Xenopus tropicalis: one gene and its partner. The protein of the gene in region 2 purifies or fractionates together with the protein of the main gene of each other region. This does not show direct contact. Links are inferred from orthologs where the notes say so. Each region holds a gene or a part of one and is shown on either strand. Other genes may lie near its edges.

Region 1 (4,312 bases), on a different chromosome or scaffold from region 2:
GCCATTAAAGCTATTGGTACTTTGAACCGTGCCGCAGAGATAAACAGCATAAAGCAATAACCAGGGACACTAAAATACTATATTACCCATCCCAAGACATGCAACTGCTCACGTTCTACTCCTCAGCACCACTAGGCGACATCACCTTCTGCCCGGCAATCCCTTTTACTGTTTCCAGTGGGGGCTATAATAGACTAACTCGCCACACACACAGTGTAAAAATCCTCTTTCTAGCCAGCTACATGTGTCTGCATTCCTTTTCTCTGGTTCCGACTCCTGAAACAAGTTAGTTCTGCTCTCGATAGTTTCTGCTATACTGATTCAGAAGTCAGAGCCAGCAGTGCAGAGAATACAAACACCCAGGCAGCGTTTTTCCATACCAATTACATTTACACATAACTTCAAAACCAATGACATTTATGAATGTATATACTGCTTACAGTTACATGTCAGTTACAACGAAAATATATTTTAAATATCTATCTCTCCTTGATAACTATAAGACTTCTGTATAATGTGTCAAAAATACAAATATTATATAACAAAGAAGTTGCTGGTCCTGAGAGTTCTAATTCCAATTTGATATATACTATACATATATATTTTCTTTTTTACACACATCACATTACACATATATTCACTTTTTTTTTTTTTATAAATAGACATTTCCCCCCCAACAATGAGGATAGATTTCTTTGGTCAGACCAAAAGCAGATATAATAAGTCAGGAGTGGGCACACAGCCTTGCAGGATTATTTGCAAATGATCAGTATATATCAGTAATATACCAAGCACTGGGTGCCGATGGATCAGGTAGGCAGGTAGGAACACAAGAAACAGGGTCCCCCACACCCCCAAGGCGTCTGGCTACGGCATTCAGATTCTGACATGCACAGAATGCGGAGAACTTCTGCCCCCAATATATATTGGGCACCATGGAAAGTGCTAATGCATGAACTGACAATACCCCACACTCCCACGGTACCTTAGCATTTCTTACATAAAACTGCAGTTGTAACGAAAACTATAAAGCCAATCATACCCCCAACCCACACATAAACTGGCTTAGTCCCTACAGCAGCAATGAGCAACCTGTGGCCCTGCGGGTATTGCCACAGCAGCCCCCCTGTTTCCTTAAGGGTGAGAAGCCCAAGGTAGGTGATGGAACACAGTGAGCAATGGTCAATAAACACCTTGCTGAACTACAATTCCCACCCATGGTGAAACTGCCGGACAACCCACAGAATACAATTCCCACCATGATCGATTTAATGGTCAAGACACTCAGAGCTACTAGTAGCAGCAACTAAAATAGACAATGCTGATAATTTACTGATAATTGTCTCTATGTGTGTTTTAGAAGACAATTCTCAGTATTGTCTATGGCAGTGGCAGCTACCTAAGGGTGAAGACACATGGAGCTACTTAGTAGCAGCTTCTTGTCATGGCTGCAAAACACCAGAAAACACCCTGACAATACTAAGAATTGCCTCTGCTAAAACACACGCAGAGACAATTATCAGTAAATGATCAGCATTGTTTATTTTTGTAGCCATGACAAGTAGCTGCTACTAGTAGCTCCGTGTGTCTTCACCCTAATACTGCACTGCTGCTGATTCTCCAGCGTTTGTAGCCACAGTGCATTTGCTAGTGAAACAACTCCCATCACCCCGCTATGCAGAAGTCAGAGCCAGCAGTGCAGAGAATACAAACATCCAGGCAGCGTTTTTCCATACCAATTACATTTACACATAACTTCAAAACCACTGTCTATGGCAGTGGCAGCTACTAGTAGTTCTGTGTCTTCACCCTAAGGGTGAAGACACATGGAGCTACTTAGTAGCAGCTTCTTGTCATGGCTGCAAAACACCAGAAAATACCCTGACAATACTGAGAATTGCCTCTGTTAAAACACACGTAGAGACAATTATCAGTAAATGATCAGCATTGTCTATTTTTGTAGCCGTGACAAGTAGCTGCTACTAGTAGCTCCGTGTGTCTTTACCCTTAGGGTGAAGACACACTGAGCTACTAGTAGCAGCTACTTTTTCATGGCTACTAAACTCTAGAAAATCCCCTGCCATAGACAATACAGAGAATTGCCTCTGCTAAAACACACGTAGAGACAATTATCAGTAAATGATCAGCATTGTCTATAATAGTAGCCGTGACAAGTAGCTGCTACTAGTAGCTCCGTGTGTCTTCACCCTAATACCGCACTGCTGTGGATTCTCCATCGTTTGCAGCCACAGTGCATTTGCCAGTGAAACAACTCCCATCACCCCACTAACAGCTTATCACGTAGATAAGTTGTCTCCCCCCCATTAATGATGGGATCCCTGCAAAATAGTCCCCCCCCCCCAGATATAGTAAGGATGTAGTAAAGCCCCAGTAAAGCTGACAGATATCCCCCATACAGCCCTGTGGATGATGCTGAATTAAAACTCCCAGTAACCCCTCTGAGCCCAGAGATGTAGTCATTCAGTGTCTGGTGATGTTCATCCCTGGGACTACATTTCCCAGCATGCTCTAGCAGAAAAGCAAAGCATTCAGAGCCCCAATGTTGGGAATAAGGGCAGCAGAGCAACCTGTGATGGACTCTATTACCACAGCCACGTACAGGGCCACAGGGTTCCCATGCATGCCTATAGACGGGCCAGGGTACGGGGCTTCCCAGTAAGATGCGGCCCAGCGGTACTGGCAAAGCCGGGGCCTGGCCTACAAACTGGATCCGTCCGCCTCTCCTGGAAAGTTTCCTCCCCCCGTTCCTCTCACACACACACAGACAGACAGAGAGCCGTGTGGCCTTGCTCCTCACCCAGGCAGCCCTGAGCCGGCTCTTGTGCCCAGCCGTTCCGGGCCCTCTCCCTCCGCTCCGCAGCCACCCATCAAGCTTCCAGCTGGAGCCGCCACCGCGCAGGGATACTCGGGAAACAGGAGAGCGCAGAGCGCCGGGATGCGGCCATGCCCCGGACAGTGCGATACACAGTGAGTGAGTGTGTGAGAGAAACACCGTGCACGGCACCCGCGGGAGTGCGCATTGGCGTGCCCGCGCCTCACATGCGCGGCCCCGCAGCTTCTCGCGATTTTTCCCGCCCCGCTGGTACGCGCAGTCATGTGACTCCAAGCAGCTCTCCGCTTTTTACCTCAGGGATGCGCTCCCCGGCTCTAATATGGGGTGTCTGTGAGGTGGGAATAGTATATGTAGGGCAGCCATGGGCCCTAGGGCCCCAGTGTGGGAGGGTTCTCTGAGGAGGGATGGTAAGAGTTGGTGAGGAAGCTTTTGGGCTGTAGCTCCCACAAGAACTACTCTGGTTATGGGGTGAATTGTGGTCCTGTAGTGTATGTCCTAGTATTCCAAAGCTAGCCAATGGCTGCCAGGGGGGGGCTGGGAGTTGTGGTTTTTAATGTAGGTAATGTCTCCCAGCCTTCTATTGGTGGGAATATTGAGGCAACTAAAGTAACAATCACGCTTTGGGGCCCGTCTATCGAAGTCCGAATTCTGGACTTCAATAGAAAAAAATTCGTATTAAATCCGATAATTTATGATGTGCGTTAAAAACGCGAAAAATTTGTATCGTGGTCATACGTAAATATTGTGGTACGGTCCGAATGATCGTAAATGGCGCGAAAACCTTTCTAACTTTGAAACCTTCTGTGCATGATTTTGGAAGCCTCCCATAGGGCTTAATGGCACTCTGCAGCTCCAACCCGGCCCAAGGAAAGTCTCCCATAGGGCTCAATGGCACTCTGCAGCTCCAACCCGGCCCAAGGAAAGTCTCCCATAGGGCTCAATGGCACTCTGCAGCTCCAACCCGGCCCAAGGAAAGTCTCCCATAGGACTCAATGGCACTCTGCAGCTCCAACCCGGCCCAAGGAAAGAGTGCCATTGAGCCCTATGGGAGACTTTCCTTGGGCCGGGTTGGAGCTGCAGAGTGCCATTGAGCCCTATGGGAGACTTTCCTTGGGCCGGGTTGGAGCTGCAGAGTGCCATTGAGCCCTATGGGAGACTTTCCTTGGGCCGGGTTGGAGCTGCAGAGTGCCATTGAGCCCTATGGGAGACTTTCCTTGGGCCGGGTTGGAGCTGCAGAGTGCCATTGAGCCCTATGGGAGACTTTCCTTGGGCCGGGTTGGAGCTGCAGAGTGCCATTGAGCCCTATGGGAGGCTTTCCTTGGGCCGGGTTGGAGCTGCAGAGTGCCATTGAGCCCTATGGGAGACTGTCCTTGGGCCAGGTTGGAGCTGCAGAGTGCCATTGAGCCCTATGGGAGACTTTCCTTGGGCCAGGTTGGAGCTGCAGAGTGCCATTGAGCC
Region 2 (4,404 bases):
CACATGACCCAACATGAGGAAACTGAGCGCCGGTCATACCTCCCCTTTTAGACAACACCAACTACACCCTACACACCATTCCCCAAGCACAAAACACAGTGGGATGAAAAGGCTGAGCAGCAATTATGCTAAATAAACCACAACTTGAACACTGCATATTCCATAAGCCATGTCTGGTGTAACTGTAGCAGCAGTTATACTACTTTCAAATAAGAACCAAGACCGACCCAAATTTCTCTCTTTTAAAACCCCCTTCTAAATACCCCAAAAAAACCATTGGTGCCCCCACGCAGCACCATTTTTGTCTAGCCTACACCATTGTTACAAAGGACAGGGAAGCAAACATGGCTGCTTAATTGGGACAGAAAGTAATGCCTAAATTGTGGTTCTGTTACCAAACCCTTTTAATCCCCTGCAAAAATGGGAATAATCCACACCTAATCTGACCTGCCAAAAAGATGGAGGGGGTCAGCTGTCACCTTGTTCTACTCCCACATTCATTGGATCTCTGGATATATTCCTCTGCCACTGTGGGTTGAATTTTTTGAGTGTTTTAAGAAGGTTTTTTTTTAAAGGCTTTCATTTGTTTTCACTTTTTTTTATTTTATTAGATATTTCCACCTGCTCAGATATTTACTCAATACAACACATTTTAAGGGATTAATTTTTAAACCAAATAATAATACAAAAAGAGTCACATTTCTTTATACATGTGATAGCACAGTAATGGCACTCAGCTCTCCACTGAGTACAATTAATACAATTAAATGGTCAGATAATCCACCTGTATGTGTGAATACAATAGTGCTGCCCAGGTGTTCAGCTTTCTCAGGAAAGGACACATAAGAGGCTCAATACCACCTAAAATATATGAAAACTACAATTATCCATCTCTCTTTCTCTCAGTATGTCCATACGGAAGCTGCTTTACTGGTTTTACGATTGTATGTTTTCTGCTTTCCTACCTTCCCTTACCTTGGGAGGAGAACTACAATATAACTGCAGGCACAGAAAGGGTGTAAGCTGACATATCTGCTCCCTGCGTCATATATACTTTCTCAGTGCTTCCCCACCCAGAGTTTGCAGACTGTTCGGCCAGCCCAAAAGGAATGTAGGAGGAAAGTGATGACTTCCAGAAAATGACAACAAAGTGCTTTAATGTGAATTTGCTGGGAAAAAACTAAATATCCATTACTTTCCCGCACAGAGGTGGTAGGCAGTTATCTGTAAGTACAGTGTAGAGGCAGCCACATGACTGCTGGCTGGCAAGAGCTGTTATAATACTGCATCTATAACTGGGCTAATACAAGTATATTTTCACCTGTATATGTGTGTCCCTGCCACCTGTCCCTCTGCTTAGATATATGTTTGCCAAGGCTTGCATTCTCCTCTGCCCTGTCACAGTATCAGCTAATATTGTACCGCCATGTTTGTCATGGTCATGGAGCCCTCATACATCTGTTCTCATGTCAAATTCAGCCATCCCTCTTCATACCCCCAAGTTTATACATCCCAAGTCATCAAGCTGATGTAGTATGGGGGTGGTGTGGACATACTACATCTTCTTTTTACTTTATAAAAGGGCTGAAAATTGGCAGACTACCCTAAACCAGCTGACAATAACTAAGAGAAAAAAGAGCCAAGGATGACGACAGACCCCCTATGGGGATACAGGAGGGGTATGAAGGGGCTGCCCTTGTTGGAAACTTCACTAATGTCTTTCCCCTCCCTTCACCTTGGGTGATGTGGCAAATGAACTGTCCCACATGCCAGGGCAATAGCAACAGCACTTAGAACATTAGGTCTCCTCATACTGCAGCAGTACCTACTAGATGGCATAGCTGCCAGCATTCTATTTTATTCACAGACACAACCTGTATAATTGCCAATGACTGACAGCTGCTCACTGAGAGGTTCTGCAGCAGATAAACACTTGCCAGCATGATCAACAAATTCGTGCCATATTGCTAAATAATATGGGTTATGACAATTCTGCAATCTGACAACCCTCCCCCCTTATTGTGACATTCACCCTGCACAGAAAAATGACAGTAAAAAGCCTTTGAAGCAGTGACATTGGGAGGATTAAATCCCCGTTTTTTTAATATGTTATCTCCGTGTCTGTGAGGGTTTTCTCCGGGGTCTCTGGTGTCTTCCCACACTTCAAACACATACAGGCAGGTTAACTGATTCCTGATGAAATAGACTATAGTGCTTGTGTATGTGATAGGGACCTTAGATTGTAAGCCCCACTGGGGCAGGGACTGATGTGAATGATTTATAATCTCTGCAAAGCACACATATGTCAGTGCTTCATAAATACAGGGTAATAAATATTACAGTATATTATCTAGCATTGTAATGCTCCTCTCGCCTTACACAGTGTCACGCCAAATGGCTTGCAGCATGCCATTCTACATACACACCCAGGGCAAGCTGCACAGATCTACAAACATGAATAGATTGCATTCTGCACCCAGCACAACAAGACTGACGGGCACTAACCATTCCCACTACAAGAAGGTCTCTCTCCTTAGCAGCCCAGGTAGCTGAATGGCACAGGTTGGCACAATATGACAGCAATGCAAGCAGATTATGGCACAGACATATCATATACTCTCATGCTTCCCAGAGAGGAGAGGGAGCTTACCCAAAATCCTGGTCCATGGACTTAAAGAAGAATTTGTAATGATGCACAGGTCTGTTGCTGAGGACATTTTTAAAATCTGCTAAGGTCACTTTCTCAGGAGGAACAGGCAGTTTCACCAGATAAGGGGTTTCTTCTTCATCTATATGGTAGATGATTCTGGTTTCAGCCATGAGCAGAGAAATAGCAAGGGGGCTATACCCCCCAAAATGGCAATGCCCTCTCCTTTAAATTAAATCTGAATCATACGTAGATCCATATGTGAAGTCTCTCCTCTGTCAGTCACTCAATTTGCTCTCACAATGCACTGCTCCATGGATCCTCTAAACAGGAAGGGAAATGCAGAATCCTGATCTTGCAAGGTACTGGGAAATGGCTGAGTTGCTGGGCATTCTGCTCCCTGCACTGCCCTCTACAGGCTGATCGCGGAAATACAAACCCTGAAAGACCAGTATTTTTCCAGGCTCTGTTATATTCCAGACGCAGTTGAGCTGTTTCATTTGTACAAAGTAAATATTGTATATTACCCGCAGAAAACCATTTGCCCTTGTGTGGACAGTTTGGACAGATATGAATGCAATATAAAAAAAGCCAAATGCCTTATTTAGGGCAAATACTAACTACAAACATAAGAGTTGCAGCAATAGAAGTGTGAATTGTACAAAGAATTCAGTTTGAAATCAATACAATTGTAATATATGAACATAGTAGAAGGCATTAAATAGTTTCATGACCATATCAACAGTGGTGAGTAATAATAGCCAGTGCTGCTCTAACTATGCCCCTTTAGCCACTCAGTCTCAGTGGTGCAGATGTAATACAATGTGGTGAGCAGGGCAGTCTGGGGCCATAAATATCTATATTTAGATATAAATCTTTTACTAGTCTGGGGAATCTGAATCTAGTTTTGCACAACCACCCCTCTGCAGTTTTTGTAGGGGAAATATTTCTAAAATGACTGTTAATGACTTTAATGACTTTTAAATTATTTAAAATTTATTGTGAAATGTAATAGATATGTATAAATCTCTTACTATCACCTACTCCTTCTAACTGGTCTCCCATCAATCTATCTTAAACTCTGCTGCTAGGATCCTCCTGCTTTCTCCTAAGAGGGAACCTGTTCAGCCCAAGTAATGTCTGTAGCATAGCTGCCTGTTAAGCTAAGGATAGCATACAAAATCCTTTTGCTAACATTCAAATCCCTTCACTCCTCTGCTCCTCACTATATTTCTTCACTTGTCTCCCTGCATGTTCCTGGTCATCTCCTCTGCTCTTCTCAGAGCAGCCACCTTTTTACACCATAAACAATCCTCTATCTCACTGCACCTTACCCCTGGAACACTATCCCTGAAGCCCCATAAATCAAAAACATTATTTTGTCTAACCCTGCACTTAAGGACCAATGCCCATACCTTGTGTACTTTTGCTCCCCAATTTGTGCCTGTATGTTACCCAACCACTTAGACTGTAAGCTCTATAGGGCAGGGACCTCCTTCCTACTGTGCATCATAACACATGGAACTTAATCTCTGTGCATTTATACTTATTTATTGTATTTATTATAATACTTGTCCTCCTTGTGTGAAATTCTGTATGTTGTAAGATTGTACAGTACTGCTTATACTTGTAGCGCTTTATTAATAAAGTTATACACACATAAACACACAACTGCCAGCTTCCTATTTGTTGTACATTCTGTATGTAAATTATAAAAGTACACATGCCAAAGTTACACCAGGATATATGTCAAATTC

What was found.
Region 1: the proteins of dvl1 (region 2) and axin1 purify together in Homo sapiens (affinity purification with western blotting; 3 studies listed by BioGRID). This does not show direct contact. The link is inferred for Xenopus tropicalis from reciprocal best matches to the Homo sapiens genes DVL1 and AXIN1.

What each region holds. Positions count from the first base shown.
Region 1 is NC_030685.2:15,101,679-15,105,990, forward strand, and holds the start of axin1 (axin-1), read right to left. Parts: upstream 3,110-4,312; 5' UTR 2,819-3,109; intron 1-2,818. UniProt on the Homo sapiens protein: Component of the beta-catenin destruction complex required for regulating CTNNB1 levels through phosphorylation and ubiquitination, and modulating Wnt-signaling.
Region 2 is NC_030683.2:93,063,431-93,067,834, reverse strand, and holds the start of dvl1 (segment polarity protein dishevelled homolog DVL-1), read right to left. Parts: upstream 2,961-4,404; 5' UTR 2,821-2,960; coding exon 2,651-2,820; intron 1-2,650. UniProt on the Homo sapiens protein: Participates in Wnt signaling by binding to the cytoplasmic C-terminus of frizzled family members and transducing the Wnt signal to down-stream effectors. Plays a role both in canonical and non-canonical Wnt signaling.